2 linked regions of the Diceros bicornis minor genome follow. The protein of the gene in region 2 purifies or fractionates together with the protein of the main gene of each other region. This does not show direct contact. Links are inferred from orthologs where the notes say so. Each region holds a gene or a part of one and is shown on either strand. Other genes may lie near its edges.

The links. Proteins that work in one complex are often made in the same cells at the same time.
Region 1: the proteins of ILF2 (region 2) and UPF1 purify together in Homo sapiens (affinity purification with mass spectrometry; 3 studies listed by BioGRID and IntAct, counting the BioPlex papers as one, with this or other methods). This does not show direct contact. The link is inferred for Diceros bicornis minor from reciprocal best matches to the Homo sapiens genes ILF2 and UPF1.

Annotation. Positions count from the first base shown.
Region 1 is NC_080759.1:6,386,590-6,394,905, forward strand, and holds the start of UPF1 (regulator of nonsense transcripts 1), read left to right. Parts: upstream 1-5,058; 5' UTR 5,059-5,251; coding exon 5,252-5,473; intron 5,474-8,316. UniProt on the Homo sapiens protein: RNA-dependent helicase required for nonsense-mediated decay (NMD) of aberrant mRNAs containing premature stop codons and modulates the expression level of normal mRNAs.
Region 2 is NC_080743.1:57,899,382-57,906,805, forward strand, and holds the start of ILF2 (interleukin enhancer-binding factor 2), read right to left. Parts: upstream 3,039-7,424; 5' UTR 2,949-3,038; coding exon 2,944-2,948; intron 2,247-2,943; coding exon 2,187-2,246; intron 1,974-2,186; coding exon 1,931-1,973; intron 1,451-1,930; coding exon 1,346-1,450; intron 690-1,345; coding exon 612-689; intron 268-611; coding exon 165-267; intron 1-164. UniProt on the Homo sapiens protein: Chromatin-interacting protein that forms a stable heterodimer with interleukin enhancer-binding factor 3/ILF3 and plays a role in several biological processes including transcription, innate immunity or cell growth.

The sequences.
Region 1 (8,316 bases), on a different chromosome or scaffold from region 2:
GGTCGGGATCTGTTGCAGAGCCTTCTCTTGTTCTGGGCCCCACTCAAAACGAGCAGTTTTTCGGGTCACTCAGTAAATGGGCCAGAATAAGGAATATGTTGCCTCCAAAATCCAAAGAGGCCCACTAGGCATTGTACCTCTTTTTTGGTTGTAGGAGGGGCTAGATCCAACAGCTTATCCTTCACCTCAGAAGGGATATCCCAACATGCCCCACACCACTAGACCCCTAGAAATTTCCCTGAAGTAGAAGGCCTCTGAATTTTAGCCAGATTTATTTTCCAACCTTTGACAAGCAAATGTGTCACCAATAACTCTCAAGTGATTGCTACTTCTTTTTTTTTTTTTTTTGTGAGGAGATCAGCCCTGTGCTAACATCTGCCAATCCTCCTCTTTTTTTGCTGAGGAAGACTGACCCTGGGCTAACACCTGTGCCCGTCTTCCTCTACTTAACATGGGACGCTGCCACAGCATGGCTTGCCAAGCAGTGTGTCGGTGTGCACCTGGGATCCGAACCTGCGAATCCCGGGCCGCCGCAGCGGAGCACGCGCACCCAACCGCTTGCGCCACCGGGCTGGCCCCTGGTTGCTACTTCTTGCTCACTAGGTCCAATCAGCATAATGTCATCAATATCATGGACCAACGTGATTATCTTGTGAAGGGGAAGGTGATCAAGGTCCCTGTGGACTAAATTATGCCATAGGCTGGAGAGTTGATATGCCCCTGGGGTAGGACAGTGAACACGTGTCGCTGGCCTTGCCAGCTGAAAGCAAACTGCTTCTGGTGGGCCTTATGGACAGGGGTGGAGAAAAAGGCATTTGCTTCTCAGTAGCTGCATGGCAGGTACCAGGGGGTGGGTTCATTTGCTGGGCAATGAAACCATGTCTGGTATAGCTGCTGCAACTGGAATCACCACCTGGCTAAGCTTATGATAATCTACTCTCATTCTCCACGACCCATCTGTCCTCTGCACAGGCCAAACAGGGGAGCTGAATGAGGATGTGGTAGGAATTGCCACCCCTGCATCTTTCAAGTCATTGATGGCAGCACTCACCTGTGGAACCCTGAGAACGCAGCATCGCTTTTGGTTTACCATTTTCTTAGGTAGAGGAAGCTCTAGTGGCTTTCACTTGGCCTTTCCCACCATAATAGCCCTCACTCCACAAGTCAGGGAACCAATGTGAGGATTCTGCCAACTGCTAGGTGTATCTATTCCAATTATTCCTTCCAGAACTTGGGAAATAACCACAGGATGGGGGAGGTCAGGGACCCACTGGACCCAGCATGAGATGCATCTGAGCTAAAACTCCAGTGTCATCTGACTTCCATAAGGCCCTACTCTGACTGGTGGACCACAGAGACATTTTGGGTCTCCTGGAATTAGTGTCAGTTCAGAGCCAGTGTCCATTAGTCCCTGAAAGGTCTGATTATTTCCCTTTCCCCAATGCATAGTCACCCTGGTAAAGGGCTGTAGGCCCCACAGGGAAAGTCTGGGAGAAAGATTTACAGCATAAAATTCCAGTAGTGCACCAGGGTCCTTCCTTGAGGGGACCCAGCCTCCCCTTCATTCAAAGGGTTCTGGGTCTGTGAACTGCCTCAACTTTGAGAATTGATTGAGGGGGCTGTGACTCTCTGTTTTTATGATTCAAGTTATACTTCTGCTCACTTGACCTAGAACTTTTCGGCTCGTATAGAGCAAGTAAGAATTTAGTAGGCTTCCCATCTATTTCACTTCTAGGAACACCATGATCAACTAGTCAACGCAGAAAGTCTCTGTGAGTCAGACTTTTCTGATTGCTGCTTCGACTCTAATGTCCATTATGGTGACCACACCCACCTTGCCTTTGGTAGTTGAGTGCCACCGCTTGGCCCCTGACACTCTGGGATCCAATTACTCTCTTGCATTTAGGTTTCCCAAATAAGTGGCAGCAGGTAGCACTATAAATTCTGGCCTACAAAGAAGAATGATCACAGAGCTCTTCAAGGATGCTGGGGCTACCCTCACAAATTTATTTCTCACAATCATGGTGAAAGGTGTATCCTCTAGACCCTCTGAGGGTGAGTCTTAAATGACAAATCCACTCTAACATTCCAATCTCCCTGAGCCTTTGACTCCATTGCTCTATAGTAAACCATAGTTACTGTTGAATTGTTTATTTATCCTTTCAATTTTATCACATTTTGCTTCATGTATTTTGGGGCTTTGTTGTTAGGTGCATATATGTTTATAACTGTTATATCTTCATGATAGATTAGAACTTTTATCATTATATAATGTTTTTTGTCTCAAGTAACAATTTTGGTCTTAACATCTATTTTATCTGATATTAATATGGCAATCCAGCTCTCTTTTCTTTACTGTTTGCATGGAATATCTTTTTCTATCCCTTTACTTTCTTTTTTTTTTTTTTTTTTGGTAAGGAAGATCAGCCCTGAGCTAACATCTGTGCCTATCTTCCTCTATTTTTTTTTTTGTTTGGTAAGGAAGATCAGCCCTGAGCTAACATCCATGCCAATCCTCCTCTTTTTGCTGAGGAAGATTGGCCCTGGGCTAACATCCATGCCCATCTTCCTCCATGGCATGGCGTCGGTGCGCACCCGGAATCTGAATCCCGGGCTGCTGCAGTGGAGTGCACGCACTTAACCGCTATGCCACCGGGCCAGCCCCTCCATTTACTTTCTTTTTTTTTTTTTTAATTTTTATTTATTTATTTTTCCCCCAAAGCCCCAGTAGATAGTTGTAAGTCATGGTTGCACATCCTTCTAGTTGCTGTATGTGGGACTCAGGCTCAGCATGGCCAGAGAAGCAGTGCGTCGGTGCGCGCCTGGGATCCGAACCCAGGCTGCCAGCAGCGGAGCGTGCGCACTTAACCGCTAAGCCATGGGGCCGGCCCCCTCCATTTACTTTCAATCTATTTGTGTCTTTGAATCTAAAGTGACTCTCTTGTAGACAGCATATAGTTAAATTGTGTTTTTTAAAAAAATTTATCTGACAATCTCTGCCTTTTAAGTGAAGAGTTTCATCCATTTCCATTTAATGTAATTACTGATAAGGACTTATTTCTGCCATCTTGTTATTTGTTTTCTATATGTTTATATCTTTTTTTTTCAATTATTCCATTACGGACTTCTTTTGTATTAGACATGCTTTAGTGTGCCATCCAAAATGTCATTTTGCAAATGTGAGTATATGTAGGAAATAAGAGGAGAGCCTTAGGGGCCGGCTTGGTGGTACAAGCGGTTAAGTGTGCCCACTCAGCTTTGGTGGCCCAGGGTTCGCAGGTTCAGATCCCAGGTGCGCACCATTGCACCGCTTGTCAAGCTGTACTGTGGTGGCTTCTCATATTAAAAAAAAAAAGTAGGGGCCGGCCCCGTGGCGTAGCCATTAAGTGAGCACATTCTGCTGCTGGCGGCCCGGGCTTGGATCCCAGGCGTGCACCGACGCACCACCTGTCAGGCCATGCTGTGGCAGCGTCCCACATAAAGTGGAGGAAGATGGGCAAGGATGTTAGCTCAGGGCCAATCTTTCTCAGCAAAAAGAGGAGGATTGGCATGGATGTTAGCTCAGGGCTGATCTTCCTTACCAAAAAAAAAAAAAAAAGTAGAGGAAGATAGGCACAGATGTTAGCTCAGGGCCAATCTCCCTCAGCAAAAAAAAAAAAAGAGGAGAGCCTTAGAAGTGGAATTGCTAGATCAAAGGTGCAGAGGGGCCTGCATTTAAAACTGATAGTGTTACCACATTGGTCTTATATGCTTTTACCAGTTCAATTGGATATTTTCCAAAGAGGGCTTTGTTTTTTATCAAAACCATCCATTGGCTTGTTGGGATTCCCTCTTCAACTGTGTCTTCCTGGAGAGGGAGCACCTAATTATTCATTTTCTATATTCTCACATTTTAGTGCATAGTAGGAGACCAGAAAAGATGTGAAGAAGGAAAAAGGAACCTCTTATACGTCGTGACAGGAATATTGGAAAATGAGGAACCAGGCAGGATCAGGAACTATTAGTGCAGCTGTGCAAACCAGGAGCCCTGTGAGCTGACTTCAAGTATTTAGAGAGCCTCAGAAACTTGGGACAGAAAGGAAGTGGCGAGTTCTCCAAGACACTTTACAAAAAAGGAAGCTAGAGGCTGGAAGTTAGGAGATTAAGGCTCATAAACCAGTAGCTGAACTTGGACAACCTTTTACTGAGCACCTACTGTGTGTGGGCATTACTCTTCCCAAGGGGAAGACCATGTGATGAACAAAGCCAGCCCCTGTCCATGTGGAACTTTCCTTACTTAACAATTAAGGGAGTGAATAGTAGTTCACTTATTCTTCATCCCATCTTGATGGTTATTATCATCCTTTTCTAGTGGAGGAAACCTTAGGCTCAGAAAGGCGAATTCACTTGTACAGTCACACAGCCAGTAGGTGGCCAGATCTGGATTTCACCCCAGCGCAAGCGCTCCCAATCGCTTTATCATATACTGCCTCTTGAATAATATTATTGTCCGAAGCAGCAGCAACCACCATTTATGCGTGCCAGGCTCCGTGCTAAGGACTGCCCCCATTTGTTTATTCAACCAGTGCACAGTGAGCATCTACTATGGGTCAGGCACCCCCATTTTACGGATGGGGAAACCGAGGCCCAGGAAGCTTCTCCGAGACATGAGGGTGCGCCGTGCCGCCAAGCCTCTCCAATTGGGTGTTCCAAGACCACCTACGTAATGCATTCAGCTACTGCTCAATTAACCCGAGGCACTGTCGCAGTCGGTACGGCCACAACCACCACACCCTCACCGCCCGCCGCCCGGGCGCCACTGAACTGCGGTTTGGGCGGGACCACGGCCTCGTGCGGCCGCCGCGGCGGCGGTTGGAAGCCCCGCCTCCCGCGCGCGCGCGCTGCGCCTCCTGTCGGCCCGCTCGGCTCCGGGCGTCCGGGCGCGGTTGGAGGCGCCGCGAGGAGCGCGCGCGCCTGCGCCGGCGTCGGGCTCGCGCACGCGCACGGCGGCGGTTCCTGCTGGGAGCTGCGAGCGGCGGGCGGCTCCGAGAGGAGCGGCGGCGCTCAGGGGCTCGGCGGCGGCGGGGGCGGCTCGGCGCGCGTGACTCTCTGCCCGGCTTGCGCCGCGGCAGGCGTTTTGGTCCGGTCCAGGGGCGGGAGCGCGGCGGCGGCGGCGGCGGTCCGAAGTCCGAGGCCTGCGGCCTAGGCCTCAGCGCGGCGGCGGGCTCGAGTGCGGCGCGGAACCGGCCTGAGGGCCGTACGCGGCGGCACCATGAGCGTGGAGGCGTACGGGCCCAGCTCGCAGACGCTCACCTTCCTGGACACCGAGGAGGCCGAGCTGCTTGGCGCCGACACGCAGGGCTCGGAGTTCGAGTTCACCGACTTCACCATCCCCAGCCAGACGCAGACGCCCCCCGGCGGCCCCGGCGGCGGCGGCGCAGGGGGCCCGGTCGGCGTGGGCGCGGGCGCCGCGGCCGGACAGCTCGACGCGCAGGTGAGCGGCACATGGCGGCGCCGGAAGCCCGGACGGGCTTCTTCTCGGCGGCCGGAGACTTGCCGGGCTAATGCGCCCCGGGTCCCGCTCTCCGGCCGGGTCCGGAGTAACCTGGCTCGGGATCTCACTCAGGACTTGCCGGGTAACCTGGCTCGGGATCTCACTCATGACTTGCCGGGAGGAACCTGCCCCGGTTCCCGCTCTGAGTCCCGCTCTGGTTGCGTCCGGGTCATCTGTTCAGGATCTAGTTCAGGCTGGGTCTTAGGTGACCTGCCCCAAGTCCTCTTCCGGGCCTGTCCGGGGTGACCTGCCCTAGCACTGATTCCGGCCAGGTCGGGGGTGATCTGCCCCCCAGTACCCCTCCACCTGGGTCCGTGCCCTGCTCAAGGCGGCTCCGGGGGTATCTGCCCCGGTCCCTCCTCTGGCCAGTCCCGCCGCCCTGCCCTACTAGCTGCCTGTGGTCGCAGCAATCTGGGCACCCCCCCCAGTCATGCCCACTGAGCAGCGGGTTCAAATTTCCCCGGGCCCAGGGACGCTGGCGAGGGTGACGGTAGATGCTCCTGGAACAGAAATGGAATTTCTGCCTCCAGTCGAGAGCCCCACGCTCGTTGGCTATTAAGATTATTGAAGAGGCAGGTTGGGTTTTTTTTTTCCTTCTTGCATTGCCTGTTGCTGAAACTGACCTGTTACGTAACTGCACAGCCCTGCCTTGGAAAAGTTGGGTTTGAGTTTGTTCCTCCAATGGGGCAGTGATAGTGAGTTTTACATAAATGGGTCTGCCACGTCAGAAACTTTTGTTTTTAATGATATGGACGTTTGGCAAAGCCTACTTGGGTGTTTTAAATTTGAGTTTGGTTATGAGAAGTATCAGGCGTACATTTCGGTGACCTGGGTCCCTGCCCCAGGATGGGAGAGGGGTCTGGCTGGGGTCCCAGGGAATGTTGCGGTCATTCTCTGGATCTCAGATTACGTTTACCAAATTTCCCTGTGCCCAGCACCTCCCTCAGGTTTATTTTCCTGAATTCTCAACCAGGGAGGAGCTAAGAGGCTCACTTTGTCACAGGTGTCCTTTGCTCTGAGGACCCACTGCCAGGGCTGGGGAGCCACCCATCCTCAGCAGGAATGAGCTCAGATCCTGTCCTTGGGGGAGGGGGCTTACATTCTAGTTGGTTGAGTCACTCCAGTGGGTAGACCACCCACTTCTTTCTTTTAGCCCTTAATACAAGCAGAAAACATTTGACTCATTCTAACCCCAGATTCCTTAAAAATAGAAGTCCAGTGGGTGGGGCATTGGGGAGAACAGGTGTACAAGTATGTATGTTTCTCAGTTTTGTTTACATATGGTGGAGGGAGGTAGGAGAGGGGAGTTTGCATGGAGAAATGAAGGAGCCGCTGGAGGCTGCTGCTAACGCCTGTAGTTTCAAGCTTTGTAGACCCCTCTGTTTCCACAGCTGTGAAATGAAGGTAGCAGCTATGTTTTTGTTACTTTTCAACATTCATGAAATCTGGACTCGTGTATGAATGGACCAGATAGTGCTGCCTGTAACTTGTGGCCAGCATACCTGGAAGGCTGAGGATAAAGATCTCTTGGTTGAACAGTGTGCCATGCTCTGTAGCAGCTCAGGGTTGTGAAAGGTAGTCGTTTTACTGCAAATCTTTTTTTAACTGCAGCCAATATAAAACAGCAAACCTGGGGCAGCTCTGAGTTCTAGTTTTGTTCCTTGCCATCTGTTTGCGATTAATTGTGAGGCGTGTCCTTCTCTTTCAGTTGAAGTAATCAATTTATTTTCCTGCACCTGAACACTGTACAAAATAATAGCATTAAAACGCTCCACCGAAGGTAAACCTTGCAGTTGAGCTCATTTGAGTTCTGATGACATCAGAAGGGTCTGTCCGTCCTTCCTTTTAATGAAGCCTAAGGATCCACCCACCTATAGCCTAACTTTTGATTTGTATTTGGGGAAGGGAAGTGATATCCTTTGTGTCACAAGAGGAGGCCCTGAATTTGGGCATAGGAAAGTCTGAATAGAATCACAAAGGGGAAAAAAGTTAATTATCTCCTGTGCCAGTTGGTGGCATTGGCTGCCTGCAGCATTTGGGAGGATTTTCCTTATTTGTCCTCAGGAGTTGGCTGTATAACCAGCTATACGATGGGGCTTCCAGAAAGACTCAAAAAACCTCCCATTGTGAATGCCTTTTCATTCCGTCTTATTGGATGAGTGGCTGTGAATTGTCAACTGCTGTGTGGTCTCTTTTGTTTCACAGCTTTATTGAGATAGAATTCACATACCATATGATGCACTCGTTTCGAGTGTCCAATTCAGTGGCTTTTAATACATTCAGAGGTATGCCACCACCAGCACAATCAATTTTAGGACATTTTTGTTACCCTAGAAAGAAACCCTGCAACCCTCAGCCCGTCAATCCTCCCTTCTCCAACCCCAGGCCACCACTAATCTTTCTGGATTTATCTACTCTGAACGTTTCATATGGATGGAATCATACAGTATGTAATCTTTTGTGTCTGGCTTCTGTCACTGAGCGTGTCTTCAAGGTTTGTCCATGGTGTAGCAGTATCTGTTCCATTCCTTTTTATGACAGAATAATAGTCCACAGCATGGACAGACCACATTGTGTTTATCCACTCCTCTGTTGGTAGACATTTGGGTTGTTTCCACTTTGAACTGTTATAAGTAGTGCTGCTCTGACCATTGGTGAACAAGTTTCTGTGTGGATATATGTCCTCAGTGGAATTGCTGGGTCATGTGGTAGCTGCATAGCCCTTTCAGGAGCTGCCAGACTCGTTTCCAGCATGCAGCCACTTTTGCTGTCAGTCCTGACTG
Region 2 (7,424 bases):
TGCTTAGCAGCATCCCTGGCCTCTACCCACTTGATGCCAGTAGCCCAAAAATGTCTCCAGACACTGCCAAATGTCCCCTGGGGTGCAAAAGAGAAGAAATTTGGGCTTTAAACATCCCTACCCAATTGCTATGTTCTCCCGTGGGCAGAAAGAGGTACACTCACATGTTGGCAGAATCTTTAGGATTACCACTAGGTCGGCTACATTGTGTCCTGTAGTCATTGTTCCTTTTTTATATGATCCGACCTGTCGGACTTCTTCAATTTGCTATTGGAAAAGGGATTTCAGGAAAAAAAATTAGAAGTGAAAAGACTGCCTCTCAGAACTCAATTACAACATAGCTTCCTGTGACCCAGATTTGAAGTAGCAGAGGTCAAGTGATATCCCCCAAACAACCAAACGAAAAGCCTGATACATCACGGCTAGCTGATAACAACGATATAAGTCTTGTCCCCATAATCAGTACTATAAAGGAATTCCAGTGTAGTTTCCCATTTTCGGCTTGGCTTTGGATAATAGGCAACCAAAGAATTAAGAGACAGGAGCCAAGGAAACTTCCACACTAGCAAGGCTGCCCTTTCCTAGGACTAAATAAATCATCAAAAACTCACCACTTCAAATGTCCCTGGAGCCACAATCAAATTATCAATCACATTGTTTATTTTTGTCACCAAAGAAAGGATAGAAGCCTGAAAAACAGCAGGAAACAAAAATAACCTAAGTTGAAAAATTACGAGCAACTTCTCAGAATTTGAATATTTTCCCCTAATCCCTTCCATACAAGTGGAATCAATACTGATATAGGGCTTTGAAAACACTCTGACCCTTCTGGCCTTGAATATGTCATAAAAGAACAAGTTTTTGATCCCAAAGATAGATTCCTCAATAAAAATATGAATGCATATGTAACCTGTTTATATATTCATCTGGCAGTCTCCCTCCACTCACAATGAGAAATAAGAACAATTCAACCCACCGTGGAGTTTAGGCTCTGATAACAGTAACCTTAACCTCACCAGCAGTTATTCACTTCTCTAGCTTTCTTTCTTTTTTTTTGGTGAGGAAGATGATTAGCCCTGAGCTAACATCTGTTGCCACTCCTCCTCTTTTTGCTGAGGAAGATCAGCCCTGGGCTAAGATCAGCATCCATCCTCCTCTACTTTATATGTAGGACGCCTGCCATAGCATGGCTTGATAAGTGGTGCATAGGTCAGGGCCGGGGATCCAAACCTGCAAACCCTGGGCCACTGAAGTGGAGCACACAAACCTAACCACTACACCACCATGCTGGCCCCTTCCCTAGCATTCTTAGTGAAATCTCAGGAAGGAAGCCAAAAGAATATACCTGTTCAGCAGAATTAGGAGCAAGGTCCTGATTCCTCTTCAGCAAGGCTTCGCTGAAGGAAGTTTCATCAGGCGCTGGCTTGACCCGGGGGAAGGCCATTTCACACTAAATCAGAAGTAAATAATTATATACTATTTACCAAAAATAATATACAGGGAAGATTGTTTTTTTCGGTTGCCGCAACAGAAAAAACTGAAAATAGAAAATTCTACAACACCTGTCTACTCAAGATGTTCAAACAAGGATGTAAGCTACAAGGAACAGCCATAATTTAAGCTCTCACTACCTTTATATTAACAGATAAGCCAGAGATACAATTAATTATTCAGAACAAAGATTACAATCACCTTACTGCCAACAGTAGCCAAGGAATTATCTTCCCCACCCTCCTTACACTGTGTTTGTACTTAAAGCAACACACAGCTGACTCAAAACCCCAGCTCCACTCACTAATCCCTTTTCCTACTCCAGCCACTATTCAAGACTTCATTGACAGGGAGATGCTGGGCTCCAGGAAACTACAAGTGAAACAGTGTCCAGGCTCCATTTCTATGTCTATAGGTGAACAGGGGCCAAGATACTCACCAAATAGAAATCAAATGGGATATGTGGCACAAAGGGCCTGAACCTAAAACAAGAAAAATCCAAATTATTCACCACAGAAATCAAGTGACTTAGCCTAATGGGGCCAAACTCATTTAGCAGGAGAGGATGAAAAGAAACGTTTCTAAACCACAGCTGGATCTCACAAAAGCAGGTAGCATCAGTCCACTCCAAACTCCTATTTAGATGACTGAAGTGTAAATTAAGCAGTGCAGAGATGCTAAAAACTGACACTCACCCTCCTCCTGGGCCGCCTCTGGAACCAAAGCGACCACCACGACCTCGGCCTCTGTCACCCCTAGAAATGCATAAATAGATTTTAACCTGTTTTGACCTGTTGAAGGCATCTCCACCATACCGGTCAAATCACTTCAAGTTAGCCTGCCTCCACCGCTCCGAACTTCCCTTTGGAAGCCAAGAGACCCCATTCCCACCTACGCTTCTCCCCATTCCAAATGCTCAGCCTCACCCCCAGGACCTCCTCATTCTGGATAATTTAGTCACAACTCCACCCAAACATAATGACGGGCTCAAACACTGAACCCCTACAAGAAATACCCCATGACCCCTGGAAGACGCCAATCCTAATACCTGAGGCACTAAAGTGAGTGCTCATTTATTATTAACGTAGTAAAACATTTAGCGGGCATTTCCTATGTCAAGCACTTGGCATAGAATGAATGAGGCACGTTCCAGACTTCCCAGCCTAGATGGGGGTGCTTCTCCTGGGACCCGAGGACACCCCTCATCCAGACCCCTCCAAAACCGAGGGGCCGACCGCCTGCCCGCTCCTGCGCCCCACCCCCAGCCCGGGCCCAAGTTTCCCCGCCCCCGCAGCCTCCGACCTCCCCTACTCTCCCAGACGAGGCCTTTTCGGTGTTAGGGCAGCCCCCAGACACGTGGCCCTTTCAGCTCCTCCGACTCCTTTCGGCCCACCTTCCCAAAGTTTTCGGTCGAATACCCGACACCATTCTACAGCACCCCAGTGCCTTTACCTCATGGCGCCCTAAAACCCGAACAATGGAGGCCACACCAACCGCCCCTTTCCTCGGAGGAAGAGATAAATGGAGAGGCGGCTTGCCGGCGTGTCCCAACAAACTCCGGCGCGATTGGCTCCCGCCTTACCCCGCCGCTTATGCCTATTGGTCTACAATGGCAAACTGGCTTATGAACCAATACAAAATGCTGACTGTGTCAGGATCTAGCCAATAAGAACAGACTTAACAAAAATGAGCATTTTTATTCAACCAGACACTAGACGGCGCTGTGTAAAGAAGGCAGGACGGCTAACGCGCTAAAAACTTTCTATAGAAACCATGAGGCACCTTCTCTCCAGCTAGCAGAGTGGCGCAGCGGAAGCGTGCTGGGCCCATAACCCAGAGGTCGATGGATCGAAACCATCCTCTGCTACAGGCGTGTGCTTTTTCTTCTCAACTTAAATTTTCTCAGTAAAGGTAACTGCCCTCCTTTTACTTTTTCCTGCGTCAAAAATGCAGCGTTTAGAAGCTGTTTTTGCCATCAGCATGTGAAATAGGGGAATAGGAAGAGACTTTAAACAACAATAAACACTACGTCTGGGTGTAGTTCACAGAAGGCTAGAAACTCGAGGCAGGAGAAGCGGATTTGAGAAAAGGAGGAAGTATATTGATGGAATCAGAGGGGGAAAACACTGATGGCGACGGACTAGAAGGGAAACCGAGGCAGCCTTTAGAAAGAGAGCTCAGAAAACGAGAGCAAAAGAAGTGGCAAGGAAAGAAGGACGCGGCCCACCCATTATTGCCTGATTTCCCCCCAATTTCTCTTCTTTCCTCACTCCACAAACTCTCTGGCGTATTTTACCCTTATATGAGGTTTCACCAGCCACGTATACGGATATACTGTATTTGCATTTAAATCAATCATATTACTATGTGCTTTTCGTTTCTTCTGTAATCCTTCTTCTCCTTCTAGCCTTCTTTTGCATTGGTTAATATTTATTATTCCTTCCCTGCCTCTGTTAATTGGAAGTTACGCACTTTTTCTACTCTTCTAGAGGTTACTCTAAAAATTACAACATGCGTCCTTGACTTAGCAAAATCTAATTTTTGGTAACATTTTTACCCTCCTGGTGAAAATGCAGAAATAATTTAATTCCATTTACCACCGTCACTCCCTCCAGAATTATATACTATTGCTGTTGTGTAATTCTTTTAAGTGTTTTATTGATGTATAATTTACTACAGCAAAATGCACAGATTTTAAGTCTACAGCTCCATAAATTTTGAGTAATGTATTCTGTCCGTGTAACCACCACCCAGATTAAGATAAAGAACATTTTTATCACCTCAGAAACTTAGCTCATACCCCTTTGCCCTGCCCCCAAGGCAATCACTATTCTAGTTTCCATTATCATAGATTAGTTTTGTCTGTTCTTGAATGTCACACAAATGGACTCACACTGTATGTACTCTTTTTTATCTAGCTTCTTTTGCTTGACACGTTTCAAGATTCTCACATGTTCTTGCATTCATCAGCAATTTGTTCCTTTTTATTTATGAGTAGCATTCTATTGCATAAATATACCACAGTTTGTTTATCCATTCTCCTGTTGATGAACTCAGGACCTCCAACTGGCTGAGACACACAGAAAACATTTGGGTTGTTTCCAGTTTGGTGCCATTATGAATAAACCTGCTAGGAACAGTTTTGTACAAGATTCTTGTGGTGAGATGCACTCATTTCTCTTGGGTAGGCGTAGCTGTATACGTGTACAGAATTTAAATTCTGTAAATACTTTCAATCTCACAAGACATTAATGCTTATTACCTAAATTAGTGGTCATTTAGATTTACAATCTGTGTGTGTGTGTGTGTGTGTGTGTGTGTGAGGAAGATCAGCCCTGAGCTAACATCCATGCCAATCCTGCTCTTTTTGCTGAGGAAGACCAGCCCTGAGCTAACATCCGGCCCTTCTTCCTCTACTTTATATGGGACGCCTCCACAGCATGGCTCGACAAGCGTGCATCCCTGCGCACCAGGGATCCAAACCCAGCCGCCAGCAGCAGAGTGCGCACACTTAACCACTACCCCACGGGGCGGGCCCCCTACATTCACAATTTTTAATGTTCTTTATTTCTTCCTGCACGTCCAACCATTCATCTGGAATAATATTCCTTCTGCTTGAGAATTCGTGCCCCTCTGCTGGTGGCTAACTTTCTCCATTTCAGTTTGTCTGAATACCTCTTTATTTCACCTTTGTTTTTGAAGGACATTTTCTCCAGATATGGAATTCTAGATTGGAAGTTATTCTCTTTCAGCACGTTTACAATATTATTTCACTTTCTATGGCTTCCATTTTTGCTCTGAAAAAAAAAGTTCTCTAGCAATCTAATGGTTGCTCCTTTGAAGGTAATCAATCCTCTTTTTACTATTTTAAAGATTTCATCTTTGATTTAATTTCCTGTGATTTCACTCTGATGGGTCCAGATATGGATTTTTTTTAAAATCTTACTTGGTTTGTTGAACTTCCTGAATCTGTGGCTTGATGTATTTCATCTATTTTTAAAGTTTCTCAGTTATTGTCTCTTCAAATATTGCTTCTAGTCTTTTATTTTCCTCCTTCCTGGGCTCTAAATAAATGTGTGTCAGACTTTCTCACAGTATCCTCCATGACCCTAACCCTCTCTTTTATGTTTTTCACTCCTTTTTATTCATGTTTCATTCTGGGTAGTGTCTTCTGTCCTTTCTTCCAATTCATTACTTGCTCCTAAGTCAAGTCTAACTTGCTGTTAAACCCATCGATTGGTTCTTAATTTTGGTTTTGAATGTTTTGGGTCCTCATGTTCTATTTACTTCTGATTTACCCTACTCCTAGGTTTCTAGGAGTGCAGCCTTTCAGGATTCTAATGAAAAACAGGAAGGCAGTTTACCAGGTTTTCATCTTTTTTTTTTTTTTTTTGGTGAGGGAGATCAGCCCTGAGCTTACATCCATGCTAATCCTCCTCTTTTTGCTGAGGAAGACCAGCTCTGAGCTAACATCTATTGCCAATCTTCCTCCTTTTTTTCTTCCCCAAAGCCCCAGTAGTTAGTTGTATGTCATAGTTGCACATCCTTCTAGTTGCTGTATGTGGAATGTGGCCTCAGCATGGCCCGAGAAGCAGTGCTTCGGTGCGCGCCCAGACCATACCCGGACCACCAGTAGCGGAGCACGCGCGCCCAACCGCTAAGCCACGGGGCCGGCCCAAACCAGGTTCTCATCTTTGGGGAAGTTTGGATTCCAATTTTTGTCTCATTTGCACCACACAGCCTATTTTCTGCCACCAATTCGGATCAGCAAATGACCCCAGGGTAAAAGCAGTCCTACTGCTGTCTCATCTCTCTGCTTTCCTGTCCTTTCATGCTCTCACACCAATAATTTCTCAGTCTTATTAGTTCTTTGATTTTTTAAAGTATTTCATCCAACATTTTTAGATGTCTTCAGCTTGAGGATTGGACAAATTATTTAGTCCACCATTGTTGAAAGAGGAGCTCAACTACTAAATTCGATTTCTAGTCTAGTTTCTCCTGAGCTCCAACTCCACTAATCCAATGGCCTATTGGACACCTCCACTTGGGTATCTACAGGTGCCTCAAACCATCTAAACTAAAATTATCATCCCCCCAAAATTTGCTTCTTCAGCTTCTCAACCAATGGGTCAATGTCACCTAGACTTCAGTTACTTGTATACTGTCTCTCTTCCTGAAGTCCAAATGATTTTACTTCCAAAACATCTCCCTATAGTCAACAATACTGTACTATGCATTAAAAAATTTGTTGAGGGTAGATCCCATGTTAAGTGTTCTTAGCACACACACAACATATACACAAAAGGACACAAGGAAACTTCTGGGGGTGATGGATATATTTATTACCTTGATATTGTGGTGATGGTTTCATGGGTATAAGCATATATCCAAATTCATCAAATTGTAGACATTAAATATGTACAGTTTATGGTATATCAATTATACCTCAATAAAACTGTTTTTTAGTCTCCCAATCTCCTATATACATCTATAGCCTCTGGAGCCCCCCTTACAGGACAAAGACATTATGCCTGTCACACAAAAGCTTGCATGATCTGCCCTCTGCTGCACTTCCTTGCCTCTCCTCCTCAATCATTCCTACGTGCACACACCTGACATCCTAGATGGGAGTTGAAAACATAAACTACTGTAGCCAGTAATGCAAGTGAGTGAACAGGGTGGATAGGAACTGTGGTGAACTGGACTCATCTCAAGGAGATAATGGATACTTCCAGCTGATTGTACATGGAGAGATGCAGGAATTATACTGACTGTTTGTTGAACAGAAGTTGACTGATCTTCGTTCCGCTACGCGCAGGTTGGAGTTGGCCGCACAACACTGTCAATGATTCCCTCTGACCATTAGAGGGCAGACTGATTCCACAGGGGTCCGGCCCAGCGGACCAGCCGTCAAGTGCTCCAAAACCCTCTCC